Oryctolagus cuniculus: one gene and its partners. The protein of the gene in region 1 purifies or fractionates together with the protein of each later gene. This does not show direct contact. Links are inferred from orthologs where the notes say so. Each region holds a gene or a part of one and is shown in the gene's direction. Other genes may lie near its edges. The genes, in order: DCAF1, CUL4B, DYRK2, CEP78, COPS5 and COPS7A.

Evidence for each region.
Region 2: the proteins of DCAF1 (region 1) and CUL4B purify together in Homo sapiens (affinity purification with mass spectrometry; 9 studies listed by BioGRID and IntAct, with this or other methods). This does not show direct contact. The link is inferred for Oryctolagus cuniculus from reciprocal best matches to the Homo sapiens genes DCAF1 and CUL4B.
Region 3: the proteins of DCAF1 (region 1) and DYRK2 purify together in Homo sapiens (affinity purification with western blotting; 5 studies listed by BioGRID and IntAct, with this or other methods). This does not show direct contact. The link is inferred for Oryctolagus cuniculus from reciprocal best matches to the Homo sapiens genes DCAF1 and DYRK2.
Region 4: the proteins of DCAF1 (region 1) and CEP78 purify together in Homo sapiens (affinity purification with western blotting; 3 studies listed by BioGRID, with this or other methods). This does not show direct contact. The link is inferred for Oryctolagus cuniculus from reciprocal best matches to the Homo sapiens genes DCAF1 and CEP78.
Region 5: the proteins of DCAF1 (region 1) and COPS5 purify together in Homo sapiens (affinity purification with mass spectrometry; 8 studies listed by BioGRID and IntAct, with this or other methods). This does not show direct contact. The link is inferred for Oryctolagus cuniculus from reciprocal best matches to the Homo sapiens genes DCAF1 and COPS5.
Region 6: the proteins of DCAF1 (region 1) and COPS7A purify together in Homo sapiens (affinity purification with mass spectrometry; 4 studies listed by BioGRID and IntAct, with this or other methods). This does not show direct contact. The link is inferred for Oryctolagus cuniculus from reciprocal best matches to the Homo sapiens genes DCAF1 and COPS7A.

The regions. Positions count from the first base shown.
Region 1 is NC_091441.1:98,129,036-98,133,915, forward strand, and holds part of DCAF1 (DDB1- and CUL4-associated factor 1), read left to right. Parts: intron 1-1,038; coding exon 1,039-1,237; intron 1,238-1,687; coding exon 1,688-1,770; intron 1,771-2,256; coding exon 2,257-2,341; intron 2,342-4,880. UniProt on the Homo sapiens protein: Acts both as a substrate recognition component of E3 ubiquitin-protein ligase complexes and as an atypical serine/threonine-protein kinase, playing key roles in various processes such as cell cycle, telomerase regulation and histone modification.
Region 2 is NC_091453.1:98,256,564-98,260,173, reverse strand, and holds part of CUL4B (cullin-4B), read left to right. Parts: intron 1-1,332; coding exon 1,333-1,485; intron 1,486-3,582; coding exon 3,583-3,610.
Region 3 is NC_091442.1:70,019,927-70,025,365, forward strand, and holds the start of DYRK2 (dual specificity tyrosine-phosphorylation-regulated kinase 2), read left to right. Parts: upstream 1-1,627; 5' UTR 1,628-2,031; coding exon 2,032-2,080; intron 2,081-2,632; coding exon 2,633-2,781; intron 2,782-3,211; exon of another isoform or gene 3,212-3,536; coding exon of another isoform or gene 3,537-3,596; intron 3,597-5,439. UniProt on the Homo sapiens protein: Serine/threonine-protein kinase involved in the regulation of the mitotic cell cycle, cell proliferation, apoptosis, organization of the cytoskeleton and neurite outgrowth. Functions in part via its role in ubiquitin-dependent proteasomal protein degradation.
Region 4 is NC_091432.1:152,039,726-152,045,274, reverse strand, and holds the start of CEP78 (centrosomal protein of 78 kDa), read left to right. Parts: upstream 1-1,823; 5' UTR 1,824-2,116; coding exon 2,117-2,369; intron 2,370-5,549. UniProt on the Homo sapiens protein: Centriole wall protein that localizes to mature centrioles and regulates centriole and cilia biogenesis. Involved in centrosome duplication: required for efficient PLK4 centrosomal localization and PLK4-induced overduplication of centrioles.
Region 5 is NC_091437.1:92,680,623-92,686,023, reverse strand, and holds the start of COPS5 (COP9 signalosome complex subunit 5), read left to right. Parts: upstream 1-1,731; 5' UTR 1,732-2,096; coding exon 2,097-2,239; exon of another isoform or gene 2,240-2,247; intron 2,248-4,344; coding exon 4,345-4,579; intron 4,580-5,312; coding exon 5,313-5,401. UniProt on the Homo sapiens protein: Probable protease subunit of the COP9 signalosome complex (CSN), a complex involved in various cellular and developmental processes.
Region 6 is NC_091440.1:102,788,220-102,793,059, reverse strand, and holds the end of COPS7A (COP9 signalosome complex subunit 7a), read left to right. Parts: coding exon 1-55; intron 56-290; coding exon 291-379; intron 380-1,208; coding exon 1,209-1,411; intron 1,412-1,979; coding exon 1,980-2,085; intron 2,086-2,236; coding exon 2,237-2,388; intron 2,389-2,553; coding exon 2,554-2,593; 3' UTR 2,594-3,402; downstream 3,403-4,840.

The DNA.
Region 1 (4,880 bases):
AGAGTGATTAGTCCAGTCAGCCATTTCCTGGTCTGAAATGCCATTCCTTGTCACATCAGTACATAAGCAGTGTGTGTCACCTTTTGTTTACCAGAGTCCTTATGTCATTAGTGGCAATACTTGAATAATGTGTTACCACTGGAGAGCCCATGCTCCCTAACCAGGATCTTAGCTCGTTTTGTGCTGGTCCAAAATGCCTTCTGATGTGAATTTTTTAAAATACTAATTTTCTTTTTATTTGAAAAGCAGACAGAAACAGATCCATCTATTGGTTTAGTCCTCAAATGCCTGCAACAGCGGGGGCTGGGCCAGACCGAAGTCAGGAGCCAGGAGCTCAATCTTGATCTCACTTGTTGGGGCAGCGATCTGTAGAAAGAAGTTGAATTGGAATCAAAGTCAGGACTTCAGCCAGGCATTCTGATACGGAATGTGAGCATCCTGAACAGCATGTTACCAGCTGCATCAGATGCCTCCTTGAACATTGTGATTCCTTAAAAGTCTCATGGAAAGGGATCACAGTTTTAAACGTGGGATTTTTTTTTTTTTTTAAGATTTATTTATTTATTTGAAAGAGTTACAGAGAGGCAGAGGTAGTGAGAGTTCTTCTATCCATTGGTTCACTTCTCAAATGGCCCCAGTTGGAGCTGGGCTGATCTAGAGCCAGGAGCTTCTTCCAGGTCTCTCATGCAGGTGCAGAGGCCCAAGGAGTTGGGCCATCTTCTGCTTTCCCAGGCCGCAGCAGAGAGCTGGATTGGCAATGGAGCAGCTGGGACTTGAACCAGCATCTATATGGGATGCTGGCACTGGAGGCGGTGACTTTATCCACTGTGCTGGCCCCTAAATGTGGGAATTTTTGTTATTTAAATTTGTAAGTGGAGGTCCTTTTCTCTCATTTAAAATTGAAAATGAACCAGTGAAGGTTAGTGTGATATTTTAAAGAACTTATTTCACACCTATTCAAACCTAAGTCCTTCTAGCAAGTTTTCTTTTTGAGTCCCTGCACATTCTATGTCTCTGATTCTCTTTTGTTTTGCTTAGATTCCGTCCTATTTCAGTGTTCCGGGAAGCCAATGAAGATGAGAGTGGCTTCACCTGCTGTGCGTTCTCAGCACGGGAGAGGTTCCTGATGCTTGGCACCTGCACAGGGCAGCTGAAGCTCTATAATGTGTTTAGTGGACAGGAGGAGGCCAGTTACAACTGTCACAACTCGGCTATCACACACCTTGAACCTTCTAGGGTGAGGGTCCCTTCCTCCTGGATGCTCTCGTTTCTAAGATGGGTTGGTGAACTCCTCTTTTATTGGAGTTTCTTGTGAGGAATCCTTACCTCTAAAGTCTAGGTGAAATCGACTGGACTCCAAGGGAAACTGAGGAGTGTGCCGTATCAAGAGAACCGGTTATCTTTGATGTCTTTCCAAGTTTTCTTCCTCTTTTCTTTGGAGCCATTATATTTTTGTTACGAGCTCAGAAGGATTTAATGTGCTGTTAAATTTATTTTCTAGTACACTGCAGGTACATGTATTTAAATCTTAGTGACTTCTGATTATTTCTTGGCTCCTGAAAGTTGTTCTTTTTCTCTTTAATCCAGTAATGCTTTTATGTAAATATTTTAAAAATACTAATGGTAGATAGCAACATCTACATGTATATAAACCCACGTTTACCCTCCTTGGGCCTCCTTCTTTCAGGACGGGTCCTTGCTGCTGACATCTGCTACTTGGAGCCAGCCTTTGTCTGCACTTTGGGGAATGAAATCAGTATTTGATATGAAGTATGTATCTGCTTTTGTAGTCTGGTGTTCCTGTGTTTTGTTTATATAATTTATACTCCATCTATTTGTTGGACTAGAGGCCTTTTGGGAAGTAGGATGCTGTAAGTTATTGTTAACTTCTTCATTTTAGGCTTATGTTTTAATAAAATTTTATCTTTTAATTTCTAGATGCTCCTGGAAAGTATATGCTTGCCCATTTGGGCAGCAGATCCTTCACTTAACTCCAAATGGCCATCTTTATACTTTGCCAAGTTCACATGGGCCATTTACATTCTAATCTTTCGTATTTCAAAGGCACATGTGCCCTATGGTCATTTTTCCAACCAAGGAATCCCTGTCAGGGTATGCTTAGACACACTGCTGGAGGGAATGTTTTTAATCTCACTGTACAGGCGTTTCCTCTGTGGGAGCCAAGGCATTAAGAGGCTGCAGTGTGTGCAGGAGTCTGTCTTGAACATCTTGACCTCTCAGTGCTTTTGTCCGTAGGCATTCCTTCACAGAAGACCACTATGTTGAGTTCAGTAAGCACTCTCAGGATCGAGTCATAGGCACGAAGGGAGACATTGCCCACGTAAGTGCTGGAGAAACCTCTGCTTTCACGCTCACTTTGCTCATTTGTTAATTCAGAAATATTCTGGACTGAATGTGAGGACTTAGTGGGTATCTAGAAATTATAGTGATAGTCCTTCCAGTTAAACTCTAGAAGTGTATTAAAGTAGTTTTAAGTTATATAGGAAAAATGAAATAATTGACTCTGAACTTAATCTTGCAGCTTGAGGAAGATGCTGTTAGCACAGCAGATATCTTTGAGTTCTTACCAAGTTTTAGGTGAGATAAAATCCCTGCATTTTTGGGCTCATGTTAGATGGTTGGTTGCTGCAGAGGAAAAGAAAGAAGCAGTGTAAGAGGGAAGAAATGCTTGATAGTGTGGTCAGGGACTGTTTTGTTAGCTTCACTGATTGGATACTGTTTAAGCAGAGCCCTTGAAGGACTTGTGACTGTCGTGCAGGTGTCATTCTAAGGCAGAGGGAGTAGCCAGGAAACAGCCTTGTTTGGGAGCTGTGAGGCAGAAGAGGGTAAGAGCTAAGGTCAGTGATGGGTACATATCCCGTAGCATCGTGGAGGAGGTAGTTGGGACCTTTAGCTTTTCTTCTGAGGAAGGTGAAGACAACTGGAGGGTGGCAGAAGATATATGACTGGATATGAAAACCTAAAGCATGATTTGTTTCTGTGAGAGAAGCAAAAGTAGACCTTCCAGGCAGGAGGATATTGTATCATGAATAATGGGGCATGATCCAGACAGACATGCAGAGGCCTTGAAAAATGATGGGCCGTAGTCCTGAGGTTTTGGATATGTGAAGTTTGAGATTCTATTAGACATTAACTGGGAATTGAATGTACAGATGGGGAGTTGAGAAGTCTGGGATGGGGGTTAAAATTAGGAGAGTAGTGCTTATATCAATATTTATAGCTGTGAACCTGGATGAGATTAAGGGGGCTAGAGGAGAGGTGTAGGGACAGCACTTGCATGTGCCAGTGTTTAGAAGTTGCCAAATAAGGAGGATCTTAGGGAGGAGACCAGAGAGAGTGACCAGAAAGTCAAAAGGAAACCCCAGGAAAAAGACCTAAAAGCCGAGGGAAGACTGCGTTTGGAGGAATGATTGATCAGTTGAGTCAGAAATTGCTGATGAGTTGAATATAAGAATGAGAACTGAGTGGGAGCGTTGAACAACATAGAGGTTATTATATAGTTACAACTATATTTAGTTATACATAATAGTTCTGGGGCCTGGGCTGTGGTACGGTGGGTTCGGCTGCTTCTTGGGAGGCCAGCATCCCATATCAGAGTAGCAGTTCAACTCCTAGCTGCTCTGCTTCCCATTTAGCTTCCTACTAATATGCCTGGGAAGGCAGCAGTGATGGCCCAAATATTGGGACCCCTGTCACTCATTAGACCAGGGTGGAGTTCTGGCTTCAGCTTGGCCCAGACCTGGCTGTTGTGGCCATTGGGGCAGTAAACCAACGGATAGAAGATCATTCTCTCCCCCTTTGTCTCTCTTGCTCTGCCTTTCAAATAAGTACATAAATCTTTAAAATATAGGCTGTACACTGATCAGACAAAATCTTGGTTAGAGTGGTTTCATAGGAGGAGTGAAATAGACACACTGAGTATAGTTAGTTCCTTTAAATTATTTTGTTGGGATACAAAGCAGAGAAGTAGAGTAATAAATAGCTTGAGGGGAGAATTTAGCATGGTAAAGGGAGGATTTCCCTCAACTTTTCATTTGAAAATGTTACAACATACTAAAATCATATGGAAAGAATGGTACATGTGTTCACTACCTAGATTCATCACTTTAATATTTTTCCATACTTTCTCTATGAATGTGTTTTTCTCAATTTGAAAGTGAGTTACAAGCATCATTACAGAACATGCATCATCTTTTTTTTTAATATTTTTATTTATTTGAAAGGCAGAGTTACAGAGAGGCAAAGACAGAGAGAGAAGCTTTCCATCTGCTGGTTCATTCCCCAAATGGCTGCAACAGCTGGAGCTGGACCGATCCAAAGCCAAGAGCTAGGAGCTTCTTCCAGGTCACCCATGCGTGTGCAGGGGCCCAAGCACTTGGGCTTTCTTCCACTGCTTTCCCAGGCCATATCAGAGACCTGGATCAGAAGTGGAGCAGCCGGGATTTGAACTGGTGCCCATATGGGTTGCCAGCACTGTAGGCGGCGGTCTTACCCGCTATGCCACAGCGCCGGTCCCTGAACATGTATCTTCTAACAATAAAACTATTTAATTACATAGTCACATATCCAAATTAAGAAAATTAGAGTAGTTCTCAAATATCATCTAATATCCAGTCCATGCCCAGTTTTTCCAGGTGTTCTTGATGTGTTTGATTTCATATATGTTTTTTTTTTTTTTCCTGAACTAGGATCCAGCCAAGATTCACATATTGCATTTGGTTATTATGTTTAATGTTTTAAAAGCCAAGAACCCTTTCTCCAGTTCTCATGGCACTGACTTTTGAAGAGACCAGGCTAGTTGTCTTGTCCCATGATCTGGATGTTTGTTTCCTTGTGGTGTTTCCTTATTTGTTTCCAAA
Region 2 (3,610 bases), on another chromosome or scaffold:
TAAATCTTAATCTCTCTGATCCTTTCCTTATGATAAATCCATGGAAGTCGATTTCTTTGGATCAAAGGGTGTGAATATTTTAAGAGTCTTAGTGCATAAGGTCATATTGTATTCCAGAAAGGCCAAACCAATTTATACTTGGACCAGCAACATATGAGTGTCTATCTTGTTATGCCCTCCCCAACACTAAAGATTAAATTTTCTTCTTTAGATTTGTCAATTTGCTTGGTGAGAAATCTGAATGATTTAGTTAGTATTTGTTTTATTGACAGTGGAGGTGAATATTTTATTTTGGCATTTGAATTTGCAAGAGATTTTTATTAAGGAAACCAAGTGTAGCATTCTGAAACCAGTTATTCAGTTCCAACAATGTGTAATGCAATATTTGAGAAACAATTTTAATGTGGGACAAGGATAAGTATCTTCAAAAAAGTTCCTGTTACATTTACATAGGCATCAGAGGAATGATACTCCCTTAAAGGATTATCATAACCTTACTTTTTAAGACATTTATGCTATGGAGTTGGCATTTGGTGCAGTGGTTAACATTTCTTGGAACACCTACAGTCCATATGGGAGTGTCTGGGTTTGGGTCCTGGCTCCTGATTCCAGTGTCCTATTAATGCACACTGTGGAAGGCAGCAGGTGATGGCTCAGGGAGTTAGGTCCCTGCCACCCATGTGGGAGACCTAGATTGAATTTAAATGAAAAAAATTAAGCTGTACTAGAAAGAAACTGCTGCAACAAAATCTAAACTTTTGGTTCAGTTACTAAAGGTTGTCATTTTTAATTTTGCATCAAGTGTGATAAACTGCTAAACACTTAAATCTCTGTTAGTCTTAAAGGAATGTAAGCATTAATGGCATGCATTTCTGGTTTATATATTACAAAATAAAAGTTAATTGTCAAAGAACTTGATGCCAACCAGTTTACTTAGCTACTTAATACCATGATTTGAGACAGAAGTCAGTCAGTTTATAGATGAGATACTGTTATACAGAAATCTGGTCAACAACCCCTTGTAACTGACATATTTAGAAGAGAGTCAAAGAAAATGGTAAATTCTGTCTCAAACATCCTTACTTCCAGAAAAGTAGTTCAAAGATAGTATTTTCTGCTAAGTAATGTTGGCATTACTTCATTGATACAGGGCAATATAATTAGAAAGGAGCTATGTTTGCAGGGTTTTTTCTGTCATCATCTGTAAGGTCCCATTTAGATAATTCAGTATATTTAAAGCAGTGAGTGGTATGTCACTAAAATGTACAAATTTGTATAAGTAATCATGTTTCACTTCAGGTATAATTCTTAAATTTAAAACCCTCTTGTTAGGTTGAGGAACAAGCAAGTACTACAGAAAGAGTATTTCAAGACAGACAATATCAAATTGATGCTGCAATTGTTCGAATTATGAAGATGAGAAAGACACTTAGTCACAATTTGCTTGTTTCAGAAGTGTACAACCAATTGAAATTCCCAGTAAAGGTAGGTATTCTGTGTTTTCATATTGAGCTTCTTATAAAAGGATACATTAAATTTTCAGGCACAAATCCTGTAAGCATAGATGAAAGCCTCAAGAGCATTTGGTGAAACAAAAGTATTTCCCATGCTGATGCATATGATTCAGGAAAAAAATTGTTGGCATAGGGGCAACTGTGAAAAAAGGGGACAACAATTTAGTAAAACTCTCAAACTTGTAAGTTTAACTGCTAAATGAGTTGTTTAAACTTTTTTCATTCACTATTTTCATTTGAACTTCTTTCTTATTTCTTTTCTCCTTGAAATACCTTGATATTTGCCAGATGTCATTATTTTAGATAGAGTCAAATCTGTTGGTTAGGTTACATTAAGTGTCTGAACTGTGTACAGACTGGTATCGTTTTGAAAATTTTAATGATAGTTCTGGTCAACTGAAATTGGTTGGTTAATGGACATATTCCAAGGTAACTGCCCAGTAATGAAGACATATAGGGTGATATTGTATTGGAATATTGTGTAAGTTCCAGAATATTTCCAAACCCTTGTGTTGATAAACTCTTGATAAGAGTTTTAATAGACTCCTGGCTATTAGGATTTCTATAAACTTTGGACTTTGATATATCACTTCACCTGAGCTTGTTTCCTCTTTTGTAAAATGTTGCTAATAGTAGTACTTACTTTATATAATTATGAGGTTTTCATGAGATCCTGAATATGAAAAATTCAGAACTGGACCTAGCATATAATCAGCCCTCAGTAGCTATTTTAATTAAGAGGTTTTTTTTCTCTCTTCCAAGCCTGATACTGTCACCTCATTACAGCTCTGTCACCCTCATGCTCTGCCTAACAATTACTGCACCTCTAGCCATAGAGATCACTGATGCTAGGGAAGTTAAGGGATTGCTTTCCTAAAAAGACTGTTCTGGTATTCTAGGTCTTTTATTATAATGAAGAGAAAATCATTTTATTGAACTTTAAGATTACTGGATAAAAATTATGACTAAAGTTTTGACTGCCCTATCAGATTCCTTTCCCTTTCATTTTACATATTATGAAAAATTTAGTAGGCAAGATGATACAGTTGACCCCTCCATATCTGTGGATTTCACATGTGCATATTCAACCAACTATAAATAAAAAAATATTTGAAAGCAGTGGGGCTGTACTGAACACGTACAGACTTTATTTCTTGTCATTATTCCCTAAAAAATGCAAAATAGCAGTTATTTACTTAGGATTTATACTGTAATAGATATAATAAGTAATTTAGAGTTGATTCTAAAGTATATGGAAGGATGTACATGGGTTATATGCATATATTACACCATTTTGTATAAGGGGCTTGAGCATCCTTGGATTTTGGCATGAGGGCAAGGGAGGATCCTAGAAGCAATGCCTGCAGATACCAAAGGATGCCTGTACTTTTTATAGTCTAGACATACACTCAAGCATATAGTTGAATTTTGTCATCTGAGAGCTAAGAATACAGTCATGAAGGCAAACTGTCAAGATTTATTTTTATTTATTTGAAAGAGTTACAGAGAGATTCAGAGATCTTCCATCCATTGATTCGCTCCCCAAATGGCTGCAGCTGCCTCAAACTGGTGCTCATATATGATGCTGATGGTGGCTTAACTCATACCATAACACTGGCCCCCATATTTTAAGTTAATTTATAAAAATTAAACTTAACTTGCAGAATTAGCTTTTGCCCAAAGTAAAAGTGGATTGTCCTCTCAAACTATCTCAGCAAAACTAAATTTCTGATTTCTCAAGCTATAATGTATTCCTCATGTGAAATTCTGTTATGTTTAGTCTTTTGTATTTAACTGTGCAGGGAGTAGCTGGTTCTGGGAAGATTTCTTTAAAATAAAATAGAAAATGTTGCAAAAGTGTAGCATTGTAGTATATGTATAAAATACTTCTTAACCTGATTTTTATTATATTTTTCTCTAAAATAGAGATTTAAATAATATGAACAGGTAAGATTACATATATTAAGTCAATAAACCAAAATTTTCTTTTTTTGATGGGGCATGTTAGTAAGTGAGTTTGAGCCAATGATCATAAACTTTGCATTGAAAATTTGCCTTCTCTTAACAGCCTGCTGATCTTAAGAAGAGAATAGAAT
Region 3 (5,439 bases), on another chromosome or scaffold:
TGCTACTTGGTAGCACTTTACTTTTGGCTAATTTTGTACTCTTAAAATGTTTCTCCCAGTTGGATTTGAAAGTGTTATTCTCTGAGAACATGCATGGGGAACTTTTTTGGTAGGCCAGTTCAAGTCATGATTCTTCTAAAGGTACAGTACTGCATTGACTATTTAACTGTGGCTCACCTTAATTAGGAGGAAGCTTCAAGAGGATTTTTTTTTTTTTTTTTTTTTTTTGGAGGAGGGGGACGTATTATCGGCCAAATCCGGATTCCCTCTGCCAGGGCTCCAACCCTGAAGCAAGACCTCTGTAGGAGAGGGTCAAGCTGTTACCTTGTCACTCTCGGATCCTGGTATCTATGTGAAGCTGAGGGTGAGCTCTGTGGGAGGTTGCTGTGACAATTGCCAACAGGAGAGGCGAGGCACTCCGCAGGAGGTGGCTCCCTCCCCCTGGGCTTTGCCTGCTAGGTCCAGCCAGGGCCGGAGATGGGGCTGGGCAGAGCAGAAAGCACCCATGTCCCCGGCAGAACCTCAGACACCTGGCATCTCTCAGGAAGGAAGTTCAGGGCGACTTTCTGCCCTCATCCGGGATTTGTCCGGTTCTGCCCCAACCTCCTCCCAGACCGGTGAAGTGGCAAAACTTGGTGACCTTTGGACAAAGGCGCACAGCGCGCCACCCAGGACGGGGGCACGGGTCCGAGGCGGGCGAGCACGTTTTCAGTCCACCAGGGAAAGGGAGGCCGCAGACGGCACAATGCAAGGGCAGACACATTCTGCACGTGCCTTGGAAGCCGGCGGGAGAGCTTGGTCTGCGAGGATGCGAGCAGAGAGGCAAGGCGCTGAAAGGAAGGTGTGTCTCTCCCAGCGGCCGCAGAGGGAAGGCTGGAGTTGCAAGGAAATGGGAGGCGTCTCTGGTGTTGATTTTTGCCTAGCAACCCACAGCCAACTGCTTCCCCGGCTGCCGTCCACGCGCGCCTCTCTGCCTCCCCCTTGTCCTAGCGACTGGAGAGCGGTCACTCGGTGTCAGTAAAGCGGGGAGGGAGAGTGTGGTGGAGGTGGAGGTGGCGGCGGGAGGGCAGCCCCCTTTGCCCGAGCTGGGGGTTCCCGGGCTCAAGGCGGCCCCGCCGCGGGGCTCGGCCATCCGCGGTGACCCGCGCACAACTAAGTTGTCCACGTGATGAACCGGGGGACGCGGGTCGTTAAGTCCCCGGGCGCGCTGCGGGGGAGACAGTATTGTTCGCGAGCAGCCATTAGGTCCGCCAAGCAGAAAATGCGGCCGTGTTTGGGGGCGCGCGGGGAAGGGGAGGGGTCTCTGCAGCGAGGTCGGTGGGTGGGGGAGGATGCGGGGGTAGGCTGCGCTCAGGGCAAAGGCGGGGCCCGGCAAGGGCTAGGGCAGCCGGGGAGGGGGCCAGGCGTCGGTGCGGGAGCGAGGGGCAAGGGGCCGATGGCGGGAGGCGGACGTGGCCGAGCTGTGCCCGGAGCCGATCCCGGCTGTGCAGGCGCCCGGGCGGCCGCGTGGGGGTGGGGAGCACGGCAGGGTGCGGGACTGGGCCGGGGGCAGCCGGGGGCGGGGCCTGCGGCGGGGGCGGGGCTGCCCTCCCGGGGCGCGCGCGGGCGCGGGCGCCTGGGCGAGAGTGCGCGGGGGCGCGCGCGCGCGCGAGCCAGGAGGAGGCTCTGGAGCTAGGCGGTCGGCGCGGCGCTGCCCGCTCCCCGCGCCCCTATGTGAGGGAATCGGGGAGGCCCGCGGCGCGCAGGGGAGGGCGAGGCATGAGCACGGGCCGGGGGGTGCTGCGGCCGCCCGAGGAAGAGGAGGACGGCGGCGGCGGCGAGGAGGAGAGCGGGGGGCTCCCGGCTGCGGGCCCGGGCCGAGGGGATGCAGCCGGCTGTGTGTGTCTGGCTGTAGCTGACGCGAGGCGGCCAGGCGGCGCCGGGGACCCGCCCGAGGGGCGACCGGGAGGCGGCGGCCGCCGCGAGAAGTAGCAGCGGGACCGGCGGCGGCGGAGACGGCAGCCCTGAGATGCATTTTCCTCTCCAGCGGCCATGTTAACCAGGAAACCTTCGGCCGCCGCTCCCGCCGCCTACCCGACCGGTAAGGAGGGCTGGGCCCCCCGCGCCGCCCCCGTCAGCCCCAGGCCAGCCCCGGAGCTCGTGCGGCCACCGCCGCGGGACCTGGAGCGAAGTGTGCGGTGGGGAGCGGGCAGCGGGCTGGCGGCCGGCGCGCCCTCGCCTCGCCTCGCCCGGCTCCGCGCATTGTTGCACGCGGCCCGCAGGCTCCTTCGCGGGAGCCCTCGGCCCCCGCCGGGCGGCGGCGCGCTGGGGGCCCGGGCGGGGTGCGCCGGGGCCGTCCCCCACCCGCGCTGTGAGCTCGGAGAGGCCGCTGCGCCCTCCTCGGCCCCGGCCGTCCGCAGCGCGGGCCGCGAATCCCCGGCCCGGCTCGCGAACTCGCGCGCCGGTGCCCGACTTAACTTTGCCGCTGTGGCGCCCCGCCCGTGGGGGCGCGCTGGGGAGCCGGGGCCCCGGCGGGTGTCTGCCACTGGAAGGAGGGGTGTTCTGCCCGGAGGGGCGGTGGGGGAGGTCGGGGTTCGGATGACTTTTTTCCGCCCCTGACCCTCTTTTGTCTCCTCCCGTGCGTGGCTCCCAGGCCGAGGAGGGGACAGCGCCGTTCGTCAGCTTCAGGCTTCCCCCGGGCTCGGCGCGGGGGCCCCCCGGAGCGGAGTGGGGACCGGCCCGCCCTCCCCCATCGCCCTGCCGCCTCTCCGGGCCAGCAACGCGGCCGCCACGGCCCACACGGTGAGACCCCGCCCGCGGGCGGCCACGGGTGGGGGGCGGCCTGGAGGGTTCCCTCGGGGCACAAGCGCCCGGGCTTCCGGGGCTCGGACGCCTCCGAGGGAAGGTCGAAGTGCGTGCGGCCCCGGTGACTTGGGCGAGCCCCAAACTGCAGCTACAAAAGGAAGATTCGTGGCGTGGGCCCCCACACTTCCCCCCGCAGAGCTCGCCCACCCCCAAGCTTGCCTTCCTCATTGTCGCTCTCCTTCTCCCTTCCTTATTTTTTCTGTCCTTGCTTCTCAGAGCTCCACGCCCTGACCCGGTAAACATCTGTCCTGCCCCCCCCCAACACACCCTCCCGTGGGTCGTGGCTATTTATAGAAACAGATATGTGTTAGGGGACAGTCAGGCTGTCCTGCTAGGAAAATCGATCCCCCCAAGAGCCTCCCAGGCCCGGCTGCAGCCAGCAGGGAGCCCCACCAATTGTCCCCCCGCGTGTGTAAGCATGTTTTATGAGTGCTACAGGTTTGAGCACAGCAGAAATTGTAATTAACATTAACAAAAATAAGCGCCACAGCAGCAGTCAAAACAAAACCAGCCACCCCGGCAGGATCCTGCAGTTGGGCATTATGGGGCCAGCCTTGCTCCGGAGGTGGGAAGACCAGGGCACCTGACAGGTGCTGTGTGCCCTCGGAGCCCCAGGAGGGAGGGGCCGGCCCAGCCTGGCCCGGCGTGGGACCAGCGGCCACCATGGTGGGCAAGCTGCCCTGGACTCCAGCATGTGCTTTCGCTTTGCTCCCAGCGAGAGCCCTCGGATGGAGACTGCCAGCTCCCAGGAGGTGATCTCAGGGTTCAGAGGTTTTGCAGCTTCCAAGCGGAACCACCTAAAATGGTTCTGCATGAGGGGTGCGATTTTGTTTGCCAAGTGAAAAGTTGAGTTCTAGCAAAGGGGAGCAGCTCTGGGGATGGTGGGTTCTGGGGAAACCTGTTTATCAGAGAATCAGAGAGGCAATCTAGGGTGCAGTTTGCACCTGTTAGAGCTAGGAAGCTGCTTTGTTATTTACCTCCCTTCTGACAACACAGCAGTTGCCTAATCAGTGTTGGATTGTTGATGTCAGGGAGAGTCTTGTTGGGAGGATGGATGATTCTGTATTTGTTAAATGTTCTTATCACACTGATGTTTTAGAATCTGCCATTGGTTTTAGGGGTTTGGGTTTTTTGTTTGTTTGGTTTGGAATCATCTGGCAATTTGGCAAATGTAACATCTAGGGTTTTTTTTTTCCCCCCTGTGTGTTGATATACTCACATGACGTGATGTGAACTGGAAAAAAAGTACTTAGTTTACAACTGGATTCCAATTTTGTCAGGGTGCACTTTGTGCCATCAGAGCCTCTTTACAATTGAAATGTGTAGTGAATGTAGGGAAGGCAGAGTCTCCCCTGGAGGAGCAGCCAGTACTGCTGCAGCCAAGACGCCCTGTGTATGTGCTTCTGAGGACTGGCCTGTTTCAGACATTATGTTGCTGCTGATTAGGTACATGCTTTCAGAACTGTGAATGTGGTTGGTCGTTGAGTTTGGATTTTATTTGTGTAACATCGCAGATTTCCTAGAACAGGAGAGTTAAAGGAATATAGAGTTTATCACGTTCTGCTCCTTTGATTTGCAGAGGAAGAAACAGACATGTTAACTGGTTTGGTCAGGATTCTCTAGTTAATTCCTATCAATAAACCCCACACCCTCCCGAGTGTGGTTTTGACATACTGTCCCACACTGGTAATCCTAGGAGATTGTATTAACTTCATTACAAGTGAAGAGCCTTTGCAGATCCGTATTCCCCTATGTCTTTCAGGTTTCTGTAAGTTTTTTAGTTTTTAGTTCCAGAGCAGTTAGGCCTGGGAGGAGTTGCTGTGGAATGACTGGGGGACAGGGGCATTAAGGAGAGAAAAATGACCTGGTCGCTGGAGCTTGCCCATGCCTTCTCTTATAAATGATGTAGTGGGCAGGTCAATATGTAATTATGCAGACTATGAACTTCAAAATTTATTTAGTCCATGTCCCTTTATTTTCTATCTTCATGCATGTCTTAATTATAGTGTATTTCTTTGTCCTAAAAATATTCCCATTTGTCCTCAAAGTGTAACTATGTTTATTTCTATCAATTTTTTTTCTTTTAGTGTTACCTGGAAGATGTTAATATATTTGTTTTCAAAATTCCAAAGTGTTGATATGCATCACTTTCATACTGTTGGAGTGTTTGAAGCAGTCTCCCATTACCAGATTCACCTTTATTAAAAAATTGGAATTAAAGAATGACTATTCACATTTAAAAAATAGTAGTGTTTTGAAGAAGAAAAAGTAGACATTTGACTCAGGGCCACACAGACTGTCAGTATGTTTGAGGAGGAGCTAAAATTCCAGTCTTTTTGGACTCAGTTCTATTCCCATAACACTACACAGCATTTCTAAGTTGACTTCGGAAAAGTTTTGAAAACGCCCAAAAATATTCACACAGTGAAAACTCTGCTGTTTGCCATTTATTGTTGGAAGACAGTGAGGCTACTCAACTGCTCGGGCTATTGTTCTTACATAATTTTTAATACGAAAATATTTCATGGTCAGAGAAAGCTTTGTAGGTCCCACCATTTTAACAGTTTCAGCATCCCTTCAGTGTATATGTTTAAA
Region 4 (5,549 bases), on another chromosome or scaffold:
CTACATTGTCAGGATCCCAGAGATCCTGTGCAGGGTCCACTCTCACTGCCAGTGTTCATGGAAGCACGTGGGTGAACCCCCTAGATGCTGAAAGGGGAACTGATGCTACTAAGAAGTCATAATTACATTGAAGTAGAGAAGAAATTATTAGACAAGCCTTGAAAGGAATCTTGCCACACTGACAATAAGTAAGCTTAAGAAAAGTCAATTTTAAATGAACATGTTAAAAGATTAATTGGTATGATAAAGGCTTCCCTGAGCAGCTGCACTTGTCAGTTGCCACAGTATTTAGAAATGGGTGAGCAAGAGAAGCCCAAGAGTAAAGGACAATCACATTAAGTGATGCTGGATGTACAACAAAGAGATCATACTGAAAATTGGAAAAAATAGATAAATTGTAAGTTCCTAGAAGGGAATCCTATACAACAGGGAAAAGAAATGAACTATAGCTTTATATGTCAACATGGATGAACCTAGCAAAAGCAACAGTAAATTAAGTATCAGAAAACCTAGTACAGTGTCCTATGCTGTTTATTTACATATGCAACTGAGATATTGCAATGATGACTACAAATTCAAAAAAATGGTTTCCTCAGTGTCAGTTAGGATGTAGTTGTGAGTGGTATGATGGTTACACTGGTCTGAGATCTTCAACAGGAATGATAAGGTGACATAGCTGATTCGTGGGTATTCCAGTACCACTACATTATTATTCCAGACTGCTGCATGGAAAGTCATTGCTGACCACACCTAGAGAATTTCAGGAGGGAGAGAGAGGGGGGGGGGGGAGAGGAGAGAGGGAGAGAGGGGAGAGGGAGAGAGGGAGAGAGAGGGAGATGGGGGGGAGAGACTTGGCAGTAAGTTGGGTATCCTGAATGCAGTGGTGGGACAGAAAGCTATACACAGAACCACAGAGCAGAGGGCTATCATTGTTTTAGAGACTGGATCCAAATACAAGCTCTGAGGTCAATTATCAGGTTCTTCACTAACTGAGCTGTATTAACATCACTGCTCTGTGCCTGTTTCCTGTTTTGTAGAGCAGACATAAAATAGTGTATCTCTTGTGAACATGTCAGGAAAATGACTTCTTAAACATACTTACACCGTGCTTAAATAACGTCTAAGACATAGAGAGTGCAAGTCCTCAGGGAATTAGCCATCATTATCATCATCAAGACAAAACAGATTCATAGAAACCCAATATAATCCCTGATTCATGAAATAATTTGCCAACAACCGTGTAAGTAGGAACTATAGAGATTAGGAATTATTCGTAGACAGTAATAGCTAGGAAACACTCAGAGGTCCCATCAGTCCTTCAGCCATCCCTTATGGAGTGTCATCTCGGTCCTGGGCACCGCGCACATTCGTCACAAGTTTAGACGGAGTCCTTAAAATGGCGTTGCCACATACACAGTTCACTTTAAAAATTTTATTTGAGAGGCAGAGAGAAAGAGTTGAGCGCCCACCTGCTGGCTCACTACCCAGATGCCCGCAGCAGTCGGGGCTGGGCCAAGAGCGGGGAGCTCCATCCGGGTCCCCCACGAGTGCGTCAGGGAGCCAAGAACTCGGAGGCTGTGCATCTGCAGGACGCTGGAATCGGCAGCTAAACCAGGAGCAGAATCTCGCACTACAATATCGGATGCGGGCATCTTAACGAGTGGCTGAACCGTTGGGCCAAACGCCCGCCCAGAAATCAATCCATTAGGCAACCCTTTGTTAAGCAAACCCCATATCCCAAGAGCCACCACCCCGGGGGCTCCGCCAGCCTCCCTGCCCAAGGCTCCGCCCTCCGAAAGGCGTGGTCTGCGTGCCGACGCACAGCGAGCGTGCTGACGTCTGCGCGCACCGCCCTCTCTGGTGCCCGCCAGAGGGCTTGAACCGAAGCCCCGCGTAACCGAGGGATGAGGAGGGAGCCAACGGCCGGGGCCGCGGGGCGGGAGGCGACGCGGGAGTACGGCGTCGAGGGGTTGCCCTAGCCTGGGGCGCTGAGCCTGTGTCTTGTTGCAGAGCCTCGGGGCCGTGGGGAGCCGGGGAGCCGGGCGGCGAGCGAGGCTTCTCGGTGGGTGTGGGTGTAGCGTGCTCGGCTGGCGTCCCCGGTGGCCGCGGTCTGGCCATGATTGACTCGGTGAAGCTGCGGCGCGACAGCGCGGCGGATTTCTTCTCGCACTACGAGTACCTGTGCGCGCTGCAGGACTCGGTGCCGCTGCCCGCCGTGCGCTCCTGCCTCCGGGAGGGCGTGCTGGACTTCAACGCTGACCGCCTCCGCATGGTGGACTGGGCGCCGCTCCTGAGCACCCTCAAGATCAATAAAGATTTGCCCTTGATTTCCATCAAGAGCTTCTTCCAGCCGTGGCTTGGGGAAACAGGTTTGTAATTCCCGCTTCCAGTGCTGCGACGTCGGGTTTCCTTTTTTTTTTTTTTTTTTTTTTTGGATACACGGTGGAGCCTGGGCCCTAGTGCAGGTGCCCATTGCCCGGGTAAGGTGTGCAGCAGACTGGGTGTGCGCCCGGGTGACTCGGCGATTCATTTTAGGTCTCTCGCTCTCGGCGTTCTCATCCGTGGCATGGCCTTAATCACAGAACCCGTGTTACATGGTGATTGCAAGGATTCCCCGTGTTAATGGGTGTGAAGCGCTTAGCTGAGTTTGGGATGGCATTGAATGTCCGACTGACGTTGCCTATTTTATTGAATGGCTTTTATTGGCTTGATGTAGAATTAAGCGATTAGGGTGTCAATACATCCCAGCCTTTTTCTTCATGTTTAAAACGTTTATATAAGCATTTTGTAAAGTGCTGTACACATGCAAAGCATTTACGAATGTAAGACTATATAATTAGGCATCCAGACCCTTTGGTTATTAGCAAAACATATGAAATAAATCATGACATGTGACAAAATGTTACTCATTCTAGCACTTAGGATGGCATTTTGTACCTGATAGAGCTCAAGTCATATTTGCTGCATTGAACTGGAAGAGGATCACAACTTCTCATTAGTCAGCGTCTAAGCATACGTTGAGATGTTGTTGGAGATATCTGGGGAGGGTGAAAGCGTGTGAATCCAGCCTAAGCTATCGGGAGGGGATGTTTGGTGTGGACTTGAGACGTTAGCTCCGATGCACCCTGCAGGCAGTTGGCTGGGAGAATTGTGGAATTTTGGAGTGTGTAGACTCTTTGTGGCTGCCTTTGTTATCAACCAGTGAGGACTACTGGCTCTGCTCCCTGCAGTCCTCATCTCTGGCTAGGCTGTTCCTCTTCCCTTTTCGACAAGGAAAGTGTAGAATTGTCTCTCCTCCTTTAATAACAGGCTTAATGCAGAAAAGCAGACAAGTTGAAAATGAAAAAAAAAAAAAGAAAAAATATACAGTGAAACAAAAAAACATTCTATCTCCTGCCAACCAGGGATTTTTTTGAACATCTTCATTATTTGCAGATTCTGTATTTGCAACTTCACCATGGTTAAATTGATCTGTAACTGCATAATCAATGTTTGGAACTTTCATGGTCATTCAGGAACAATATAGAGTGGGACGAAATCTGACTCACCTGACATGTGCAAGGGGGCTTTGCCAAGTCTGTGGGAAAATGGAATGAAAAGGTACTCTGAATTTTCCACCAGCTTTTCAAGTTCCCTTGTGTGTTCCCACCTGATTCTTCATCTCTTTTTAATAATGACAGATTTTTGTTAAAGATTTTTAAGGAATAGCATCCTATAGTGGAAACCATATGAGGGTTAGAAGCAGCCTAGAGTTTGAATTCTAAAGGCAAACCCTTCTACGTGCCCCAAGGCAAGTTATTTTGTAAACTGTGGTTCCCACACTTGTAAAATGGCATTAAGACAACCTTCTGAGTGAGTTCTTAGGGTTAAAGCAGATCATGTGTGTAAAGTGTCCTGGCAGTAGAATGAGCTCAGTCTGCACCGAGTACTGCTGGAGTACCCTGTCCTAAAGCATCGTCCCTTCTACCAGGGCTGGAAGCAGGTAGAACAGGGGTGGGGAATGTCCCGTTTGCATAAGGCCTACAAGGTCATTTGGTCTGGTCCTCCTGGGAGGGCCTTAAAATCCTGTAAATCTATAGCAGGCTAATTTTAAGGTGATAATTTTGTAAGACCGTGAATAAATATCCACTGGCTCTTGGCAGAAAAAAGTTCCCTACCCCTAGCATTGTGCATCAGTGCTGTGGGAGAAAAGGGAGTCTGTGGCTTAGAACACAGAACTGAGAGGGAGGTTCAGGGAAGGCCTCCCAGAGGAGGTGCTGTCCTTTGGAAGACTGTGTAGAAGGTAGCCAGGTGGACAGGAAGGAGTAGTCTGGGCAGACCTCTCAAAAATAGCGGAGAATACGCAGGCTGGGGTACAAGATTGGAATTTAGGGTTTGGGGAAGAGCCGAGACTGGCAACGTGTGAGTCTTGCTTGTCCCATCAATCAAGGAGTTCAGTTGATCCTGACGATGGTGGGGAAGCACAGAAGGACAAGGTGGACTTGTGACTTAGGAGCTCACTCTGGCCTCCGTAGAGAAGGCAGGTTAAAGTTGCAAAGAGGGTAAGCTAGTGGCCCAAAGGAAGGCACAGGGCAGAAGGGCTGGATTTCACCTGCTGGAGAATGAGTGGGGCCCGGCAAGCAGTGAGAAGAGGGAGGGCAGCAGGCTTGGGTGACAGTGTACGCAACTTCCTTCCACTGGACCCTGCATGGCAGGAGGGGATAAGGGGTAGGGAGAGGATCTTGGTTATCTTTAATGTTTTAAGAAGGGCCTGTAGGACATCTAAATGTGTCTACCAGGCAGGCTGGGCCCAACATGGATTTGGGCTTTGTGGGGGACAGGTGTGTGAAGGCATGGGAGAATATAGGTTACCCAAAAGGAGGATTCAGAAGATGTGGCCTGAAAGATATTTTAAACTTTTTTTAAATAAACTTAATTTGATTTTCTGTGTTCTTTAACATTTTTTTGATTAATTAATTTATTTGAAAGGCAGAGTTAGAGAGAAGCAGAGACAGAAATCTTACATCCTCTGGTTCACTCCCCAAATGGCTGTAACAGCTGGAGCTGAACCAATCTGAAGTCAGGAGCCAGGAGCTTCCTCTGGGTCTTCCACATGAGTGCAGGGGCCCAAGTGCTTGGGTCATCTTCCACTGCTTTCCCAGGCCATAGCAGAGAGTTGGATCAGAAGTGGAGCAGCTGGGACTGGAACCAGCACCCATATGGGATGCTGGCACCACAGGGGTGGCTTTACCTGTTACGTCACAGCGCTGGTCCCGATCTTTAACATTTTTAAAAATTCACTTGTATTTGAGGAAGAAATGCATTGAGAGAGAGGGAGAGAGATCTCCAATCTGCTGATTTCTTCTCAACCTTGCCCTCTCCCCAAACACATGTGATGGCCAGCTCTGGGCCAGGCTGAGGCCAGGAGCCAGTAACTCAATCAGAGTCTTCCACGTGGGTGATAGGGGCCCAGCTATTTGAGCCATCACTTGCTGCTGCCAAGGGTGTGCATTAACAGGAAATTGGAATGAGGAGCAGAGTCAGGATTCAAACACAGGCACCCCAGTGTA
Region 5 (5,401 bases), on another chromosome or scaffold:
CAGGCTCGCGTCTTGGGAGACGCACAGCGTCCTACTAAGGTTCTTAGCGGTTCCCAGAGGTGGCCGCGGCCTCCTGGCGCGCGAACACTGTCACAGTCAAGCCGGCCGGGACTCCGCCTCTCAAGCTGGGCCCTCTGCCCGCCTCTCGCCAACGGCCAGGCGCAGCCCCGCCTCCGGAGCGGCCGCTTAAGAGGACCGCGCGACCGAGGGCGCCCCCTGCCTTCCCGGAGGACGCACAGCCACCCACCTGCGCCCAGGGTTTTGTTAAACCTTGGGAGTCGCTTCCCAGGTTGAATTAATTCCTGCTTTCCAACCCACCACTCCGCGGTCGATCCGAGGACAGCCTGAGTCTGAGGTCCGGGAAGGTAGAGGCAGTAAGAAGAATACCAATGGCACACTCTCCTAAGCCAGGAGTCTGGTCAGCGCAAGTCCCGGGCTTTCAATACCATTTTCAACGTGTAATTCAATTCACACCAATACTAAGTAATCAAATGCTCCCACTGAAAAAGATTTTTTGACTTCGCAAGAAACTAAGAATGCTAATGTCTCCTAGGGGCCCTAATTTATCCTTACTTTGCAAGTCGACTTTAAAGGCAAATTTTAAGCTGAAAATGTCAAAACCGCAGACTGTGGTGTGGATTCCATAACCCTAATTTTCTATTTGTTCTATCGATCTGCCACGCACCCTACTAGGAGTGGAGGATTCAAGGCAGTGCGAGGTATCCTGAACTCTGAAAAAAAGAAACCTCCATGTAAACCGATACTCGTACATAATTACAACACAATGCGAGTTAAGAAGTACCTGTCTTACAGACTTGGAGACACCGTGGAAGAAATGGTCCTGGAGAGTGAAGACAGACCTCAGAACTGTGCTTTCAGATTAATATGAGCTCGCAGGCAGAAAAGCCAGGGAAGCGCGTGTTAATCAAGCAACGCTGACCACATCCGAGTACTGTTGTGCTAAGTCCAAGTGTGGGGAATGGCACTACTGGAAAGAAAGGTTTCAAGGGGGAACTGAAGAGAGATGGAACTGGAGAGGTGCGTAGGGACTAGGTTATGAAGAGCTGCGATGTTTTCTTTTTTTCCAGCAAAAAGATCTTTATCCCTAACACCCAGGTGTTAGAAATAAAACAAAGAGCACAGAACTGGTCCCTGCGTCTTTAAACGCAGAATCTAGTGCGGACGGAGAAGAGAGGGAAAAACACGTAAACCAAACACAGGAAACAAACATAGTATCAACGGGAGGCAACAAAAAGGTTGCTGAGATTAACTCCGTCCAGGCTATTAAGCGCTGCAGACTTAACTCATGAGAACTGAGTATTGGACATTTGCATCACTAACAGCTCATAATAAATGTAGGGACATGAAACGTCTACGTCACAGGATAAAACCGTAACAATTCACTCGCTTTTGCCGCCTCCCGCGAGCGCTAGAAAACGCCCACCTGAAATCCACGAGCCCGCAGTTCTACGCATGTGTACTGGGTCACTTGGAAGCAAAACAGGATGCCATATTTATCTTCCTCGCAGCCAAAATCCAGTACTTACATTTAAATTTCTCCAGACATCCTTTTTATTTTTTTCCTAGTCTTTCAAGAAACTTTCCATCTAAGACAGCTACACCCACACGAAAACACTTTCCTCTGCCCAACTTGCAGCTCCGCCCACATTTAATATGGCGGAAAATGCGCCTGCGCAGTACTAACTAAGAGGCCACGGCAGTTTCTGGCATAACGTTAACGTGCCCTTCTTCCGTTGTGAAAGGCTATACCATTCCCATGGCAAATGATTGTGTTTGCCCTATTTCATAGATACAGTTTTCCAAGACGATATGTTCTCATTTAACCCACATTAATATTCCCCTTGCCACAGCTGTTACACTAACTACCGATTTATCGTCGCTTCTCCTAACAGCCCCCTCCATCCCCGAATGGTCCGTACCAACTTCACCTCCGGTTCTAGGTGTCATGGCTGCCTCGAGAGTCTAGGAAGAGTTTGCACCTGTGGTGGGAAGGGTCCAAAACCCACACCCAGGGAGCTAGAAAAGTAAAGTTGCGTCTCGGCCGTAGAAGCGAAAGCTTCTCTGATTCCTCGGCGATGGCGGCGTCCGGGAGCGGTATGGCCCAGAAAACCTGGGAATTGGCCAACAACATGCAGGAAGCCCAGAGCATCGATGAAATCTACAAATACGACAAAAAACAGCAGCAAGAAATCCTGGCGGCGAAGCCCTGGACTAAGGAGTGAGGAGGTCCCTGGAGACTCGCAGGGGAGGGACGGGGTGGTTAGAGTTTGAGAGACCCGAGGGTGGGGGAGTGGGAATTGGAGTGGGTGGACGGCTTGGCTTTTCATGGTCCAGGAGAGATTATGCACCTGAAACAGAATTTGATCTACCTTCATCCCCGCACGTGTAGTGTATGCTCCTCCGCTGCGGCCTGCTTTGCCCGTTCTGTCTGTTAACTCTTTTGCCTCTGGAGGATGTAAGGGATGAACAGCAAGCAGAGATTTAGGTTATCACTTTTCAACATCCTGATTATTATATCTGCCAGTATCTGCTTTGAACCCTGTGTGGACTACACCTTGTTGGGGCCTTCAGCTGGTCCCTGACGGGAACCGCAGCTCTTTTCAGAAATTGAGTCAGCAGCTCACCTGTCTTGCAGATAGCTGTGAGCCATCTTTTTAGAGATCTGTAGTAGTTCTTTGATTGCTGGTAATTATTTCAGAGGCACAGTCAGCCTCTAACCAATTTCTAAAATATTACTCCACCAGTGTCACCTAAGTCTGAGATTAAAAAATAGACCTTAAGGCTCTTACCCCTTAGCAAAATTCATGCATCCCTGGGAGTGATGACAAGTCAAGGATTATTAATCCATAACATTTATCCTTTACCAAAAGAAGACTTTTGTTGGGGAAAGAGTAAAAAGAGAGTAAAAGAAAACTGTTTAATAGATACAAAGGAGAGCTGTGGCAAGCCCAGGACATACTTCCTGCCACACCGTCTTTTACAAGCCTAGCTTTAACTGTCAGTTAGGTGCAGCAGTGTTTACTGATAACTCAACATGGGCCAAACACTGAGTTAGGGATCTGCATTTGTCATTTTAATCATCATGACAACCCAGTACTGTACTTTCATTCGTTTTTTCAAGTAAGGAAACAAGCAAATACCTCATGATCACATTGAGGCAATGTAATAGGAGCACAATAACAGTTATCTTTTTTCTTTTCCCGTTAGAACACAATTTTAATTTGTATCTTAACTTCCAACACCAAGCCTCTGTGTTTTTCAGCTTGTGAAATCTGGCAAAGGTTGGGAATTAAGTTTCTGTGCTTTTCTCTGGGCAAACATTTAGCTCAGAAACACCAACTAACCACTCTGTACAGCGTACAGGCTGGTTAGGTTGCCTGGTTGTCGACTTCTATAGCAGCTGTACATTTTAGGTTGACCTCCTCTGTTAGATATTTGGAAGCCATCACTTTGTTACACTGTCTCACAGTAGTTCTAATTATATCCCTCCTAGCTGTCTTGGGCTGCATCAGTCAGACCAAAATATAGTTTTACTTAAAAGTTGACTCACAGCCACCACTGACAAATTCAAGAACAGTGATCATGGGACAGCTAAGGATATTAGAGACACTTTTTAATTTTGAGGCTGATATTACAGAGGAAAGCCACATCTTTCAAAATATTGTTGTTTCAGAGTACTGAGAATACTGTAACAGAAATTAATAATGCTAAAAACAGATAGCATTATTAAGGTTTTACTTTGGATCAGACACTAAAGCTAGGCACTTTATTATTTCATTCATTTTATTTCATCCTAATGACTCTGAACTAGTCCCGCTTACCCTAAGCAATGTAATGTGAGACACGCAGACATTAAGAGGTTGTCCTAATGTCACAGCTAAGGAATGGCAGTGCAAGAGTCAAACATAGGCAGATAGATGTCAGAGCCCACATTCTTTTAACCATTAGACCAAAAGGTTAGGCCTAAGAATAGTTAAACACAGCCATCCATCCAGTATTAGAATCAGATATTTGATCATTGCAAATCAACAGAGGAAAAGTCTCTTGAACTCATTGCTACTTCCACATTTGAATAGCATGTTAAAAGAGAGAGAGGACTGTTTCAGACCCTTCCTTTCCCCAGGGGGGAATATTTTGCAGGAGTATGACATGTTTGTTATTTCCATACCCATGCAGGTCATCTGTCCTTTACTACTACTTCCCACATTCTACACAGCCCTTATATCAATTTAAATTCTCTCAGTAACTTATTTTAAAAAAAAAAGTCTTTGGATATTTTATTTCAAATAAGAAATATAATTACATTGTGATTTTATTTTGTAGTCATCATTACTTTAAGTACTGCAAAATCTCAGCATTGGCTCTACTGAAAATGGTGATGCATGCCAGATCAGGAGGCAACTTGGAGGTGATGGGCTTGATGCTAGGAAAGGTGGACGGTGAAACCATGATCATTATGGACAGTTTTGCTTTGCCTGTAGAGGGCACTGAAACCCGAGTAAATGCTCAAGCTGCAGCATATGAGTACATGGCTGCATACATAGAAAACGCCAAACAGGTAAAAATCTTGTTTATTAAACTGTGGTAACAAAAAAAAATCTTGTTTATTAAACTGTGTTAGAGTCTCAAGGTAACTTTTGAGATTCTGAAGTTAAGGCTATCCTCTCAAGGTTAAATTTTCTATTTTAAATTGGATATGTGTGTAAAATATATGGGATCATAAGCCTTGTAAGACCATGGGCTTTTTAATTTCCCAAGGTTCACACTCATTATCAGATTTGTGCTTAAAATGAGAAGTTTGGGAACAAGCTAAGTGTTTCTGAGTATAAAACCAGTTAAATAAATTATGGTACAGTCATTAGAGGACTGCCAGGCAGCTGTTAAAAAATAAAAGATAGCTACCTATATATATTTACTTATCTGGAGCATGATCCAGAATAGTTTATTGAATGAAAAAGCAAAGTGTAAAACACTGTGCGTTGTACTAGTGTGTGTGTGTGTGTGTGTGTGTGTCCACCTACATGTATTTTAAGAACATCTGTTAGGTAGGTAAGTAACTGGTTGTCACTATAGCTTCTGGGCTGAGAAACTGGATAGCTGCAGGGGAAAAAATGGGAAGAAGATGGAATACTTTTCCATGGTTTCTACATGCATTTTTAAAACCTTTTATTAAACTTTATTAAATAGTGTATGCTATTAACTCCTGTGCATGCTGTTAGTTTACCATAATGCTATGGAAACAGACTAATGACAACAGGAACCTCAAACTCTACCACCCTCTTCATTTGCAGGTCGGCCGCCTTGAAAATGCAATTGGCTGGTATCATAGCCACCCAGGCTATGGCTGCTGGCTTTCTGGGATCGATGTTAGTACTCAGAT
Region 6 (4,840 bases), on another chromosome or scaffold:
TCCACGTTCCGGCTGCTCACCGTGTTTGCTTATGGGACGTACGCTGACTACTTAGGTAACCAGGGGGGCTGGAGCTGTGCAGTGATGGGAGTGGAAGAAGGGCGGTTTTTGGAGGCACTTTAAGAGAAAATTCCTGGGATACCCCACATAGGTCCCCTGGGTGCACAGTTTCAGGGTCAAGACCTGAATCAGATTGAAAAACTCAGAACAAAACAAAAAACAAGGGTGAAGGAAGTGTAGGCTTCCCACAAAACTGCAGTCGATTTCCTCCACTTTGTCCTCTTCCCCAGCTGAAGCCCGGAACCTGCCCCCACTCACAGAGGCTCAGAAGAATAAGCTTCGACACCTCTCCGTGGTCACGCTGGCTGCTAAAGTCAAGGTGAGTGGCAGTCTCCCAGGTCTAGGCATCCTTCTCTGTGTCTGGGAGGTGACACTAGGATGTCCCAGGACCAGACTTGCCTCGTCCTGCCCCCCTCAGGGTCTGTCTGGAGTCCATCACCGAGCCATTTAGGCTGAGCCTTCTCTTAGTTTTCTCTTTGTAAGTTTTCAGTCACCTTAAGTTCTAAGTAAATATCTTTTGTATGCTGCTGAAAGTGGCAACGAGGGTGCCATGCATGTGTTGTACAATTACTTCCGTTCCCACGGCCTCAGCTGGAATAGGCTCTCTTCTGACAAGGTGCCAGGCTTCTGTTTGGTGGAGTAAGACATGCATATAACGCAGAAGGATCTCTGTATTCCTGCTGGCCTCAGTTTCCTGCCACACCCCCCAAGCTGAGGTTTCCCAGTTGTTATTTGACTGTCTTGTTACTGTCCTGACTTGATTTAAACCGAGCTCTGCATTGTGCAATGCCTGTGCAGAGGTCAGACTTCTCCCCTGCCGCATATTCCCACCGTGCCAGGGTGATCTTGATGCAGGGCTGCCTGAGCTCCTGAGCTGTGGCCAGAGGAATGACCCCAGACAGGTGTCGCTTGCTTGCTCGCTCTGGTCTGGAGAAATAGGGTGGTAAGGGAGCTTAAGTCTTGTGTTTTATTTAAGATTGGCCTTCTCATGCTGTTTTCTTGAGGTGGGAATACATTTACTTATTCTGCCCTAGAGGAAGTGGTATAGGAACAGAGCGGAGGGCAGATGAGCCAGGGCGGAGGGAAGATGATTTCTGGAAACCCCTTCCTGCTGCGGCTCCTCACAAATCCTGGCCTCCCGGGCCCAGTGCATCCCATACGCAGTGTTGCTGGAGGCGCTGGCCCTGCGGAACGTGCGGCAGCTGGAGGACCTGGTGATCGAGGCCGTGTACGCGGATGTGCTCCGCGGCTCCCTGGACCAGCGCAATCAGCGGCTGGAGGTGGACTACAGCATCGGGCGAGACATCCAGCGCCAGGACCTCAGCGCCATCGCCCGAACCCTGCAGGAGTGGTGAGAGCCGAGGGCGGCACTGTCCCTCCCCTCCTCACCCCAAGAAAGGGAGAGGTACTTCAGGGCAGGAGAGAGCAGGGGCTGGGCTGGGCTGCGACCCAGGAGGCTGAAGCAAAGTGAGCCATCCCTCCAAAGGCATCTGAGGCAGGGATGGAGGCGGCCCAGGGAGGCAGGAGGCAGTATCCTTGGTAAAGTGCATGGGGAGGGAGCGGGGATGCTACCCACGTCAGTCACCTGTCTAGGCTGGATTCAACTCATTGGTTTGTGACCGCCGTTGGCCACAGGCCTCTGCTTTGCTCCTGTCTAACCTCACTGTCCGTCCTCATTCATCCCCCACCCCTTTGGTTTTCCGCTTCTCCTCCGACTTGCCCAGCACTTGCGGCACTTCCCTGCCACTCTCCTGTCCCACCTGAGGGTCTGTCTCACTGGGGGGACTGCTGTAGGTGGTTGCCAAGGCCCAGCTCGGACAGGGGTTAGATGCTGGGAGCTACGGGTCTTTTGGAGTCTGTCTGTCATGAGTGTGCTCGCAGCCCTCTGTGCTGACGCGTCTCCTCGTCCCACCCTGCAGGTGTGTGGGCTGTGAGGTTGTGCTGTCAGGCATTGAGGAGCAAGTGAGCCGGGCCAACCAGCACAAGGAGCAGCAGCTGGGCCTGAAGCAGCAGATTGAGAGTGAGGTGAGCAGGGCTCACCCACACTGCCCCAGCCTGGGCCACTTGTCCTGTGCAGAGGCGTTTGGACCATGGCTGTAGCAGACAGGTCAGATGGGCAGAGTCTATCATGTTCCGGAAACTTCTTTGCTCCCCCCTATGGCTTTCATCCTGGTAGGTTGCCAACCTTAAGAAAACCATTAAAGTTACCACTGCGGCAGCGGCTGCAGCCACATCTCAGGACCCTGAGCAACACCTGACTGAGCTGAGAGAACCTGCCGCAGGCACCAACCAGCGCCAGCCCAGCAAGAAGGCCTCAAAGGGCAAAGGGTGAGCCGGGCAGCGGAGCTCTTGCCCTGGGGCACTCCACTCAGCTCGGGGCCCCAGCTGCTCTTACATCCTCTCCTTTCATCCTTTGCATGGGGATAGGGAGTTGGGGGAGGCTTTGGGGGTAGGGAGTCCCTGCACCCATTCTCTTTCTCTTCCCCTTGCCAGGCTCCGAGGGAGTGCCAAGATTTGGTCCAAGTCGAACTGAAGGGACTGTCATTTCTTCCTTGGGACTGTGGGTCCCAGCTGCCTGCCTGCCCTTAGGAGTTCTCAGAGAGCTTTCCTGTGCCCCTGGCCAGCTGATAATCCTCAGTTCATGACCTTTCACCCCCACCCCCACCCCCAAGCAGATCACACCTTCTCTGGGGAGGAGGCAAGTACAGGTCACATTTTTATTGGTACTTTTGTTTTATGTGACTTTCTAATGTGTTGCATTGCCCCCTTCCCCATCGTGCTCTGTTTCTTTAAGAGCTCGACATCTATCCTGTTCCTTACATCTGTCGCCAGGTAAGGGGCTAGCTCTGACGGGGCTTGCTCTGTCTCCAGCATAACCCACAGGTGTTCCTTCTCCTGCCATGTTGCTGCATGCCTGTCCCCCCCATCACTCCCTACCCCCACCTATGGGTGGCATCTCAAGGGCCATGGGCCCTTACCTTTATGCCCACCCTGAGAGTTTGGGAGCCGGCTTGCCATTCTGAATGACTGGACACTTTCATCCTAGAATTCTCTCACACTACGGTTGTCTCCTCTCCTCCTTCTTCCCCTTGGATCCTGGGAGTGCTGCAGCTTCAGTAACCCCAGAGCCCAAGGAGGGCAGCTGTTATTAGGATGCTGAGAGATGGTTCTGTGGGCCCTGACCATCTTGGGAAGCCTGGTGGCAGTCCTGCAAGGCTTTATGTCCCCTGTTGTGACTTTGGTGGGGAAGGGAGGGCATATAGATTGTATTTAAAAAGGTGTATATGCATATATCTATATATAACATGACACAGAAATAAATCTATGAGAAGTCTATCTACACACATGTCCTGCACTGGGTATCTTCTGTGTTTGATATTTGTGGATGGGAAGAAGACTCATTCCCAGTCTACTCTAAAAAAGGGCTGGAAAATGATGAGAACCAGATTCTAAATCCCGAGTCCTGGTGCCCTGTGGCTTTGGACAGACTGCTTCATACATGAGCGCTCCTTCCTGAGCACCCACGTGTGCCGGTCATGCTCCCTGCCTCCTGCATCATAAGAGAATCCTCAGGGGAAGATTGATGACGAACTTGGATTTCACATCACAGTCACAGCCATCGTATCTGGCAGGAGCACGCAGTTGGGCTCCTGCCCTTCTTCCAAGTTAGGACTTCGCAGGAAGTCTGCTAGCCTGGCCCAGAGTGCTGCCGTGAACGCCTCGGAACCGGGAGGCTGTGGCGGAGGCGGCAGGGAGCCCTCTCTGCAGAGCTGGTGCTGGTTGTCTAGGTGGAGGCTGAAGAGAGACCACTCCACACCGGCCCTGCAGCTGTCAGTCGTGGAGCCAGCCAGTAGGAGTGGGGTCTTGAGGTTTTGATTAAAAGTAGACTGGGTGAGCTTAGTGGGTTTTTTCTTGTGTTTTATGTTTATTGTCACCTACTTGACAAGCAGAGCTAGAGAGGGAGCTTGATCTCCATTTGTTAGTCTGCTCCCCAGATGCCCTCAATAGCCATGACAGCGCCACGACAAAGCCAGGAGCCCAGAACTCCATCCAGGTCTCCCACAGGGGTGCTAGGGACCCACGTACTGGGCCATCGTCGGCTGCCTCTCAGGTGCCTCAACAGGAGGCTGTTTTGGAAGCACAGAGTAGCCAGGACTGGATTCAAGCACTCTGATTATGGGATGTGAGCATCCCGTGCAGCCGTTCAATACAACTCCCACCCCAGACTTCCTGTCCTGTGAGGGGAATGAAGACCTAACGGGACCTGTGCAGTGAGCCTCATTTCAGCACACTTGGCTTCTCAACTTTGCCCTAGACAAGCTGTTTTGAATCGGGTTTGAACCTGTTTTGCATTGGTTCTCAGCGTCTGCCTCTGAAATCAACCCCGTCTTCCTCTCCCACTCAAGTGTAGGAATTGTGAGTTCCTGGTACTTTCAACCTGCGCCTATCGTCCCCTTTTCCTGTGAGCTGCCCCCAGCTGAAGGCCCCGTAACTCTCTAGACCCCTGGTTCCAGACTCCAGTGCATGGCTCTGAAGGCCTCACTAGAGGCTGGCCTCTGACTGTTTGGCTTTATACCCAGAGAGGGAGAGGAGTCGTTCTCATTGCCAGGGCCATGCAAATGCAATTTGATTTACAAAGAACAAGCTCTTGGCTATCAAGAATGGAGGAGAGTCAGCAGGTTATTTGGAAAGTAGTGAAGGCACAGTTTTTGACCAGGAAATTTGGTTCAAGATTTAGGGATTCGAGGGCTGGCATTGTAGCATGGCACTTTAAGCCTCT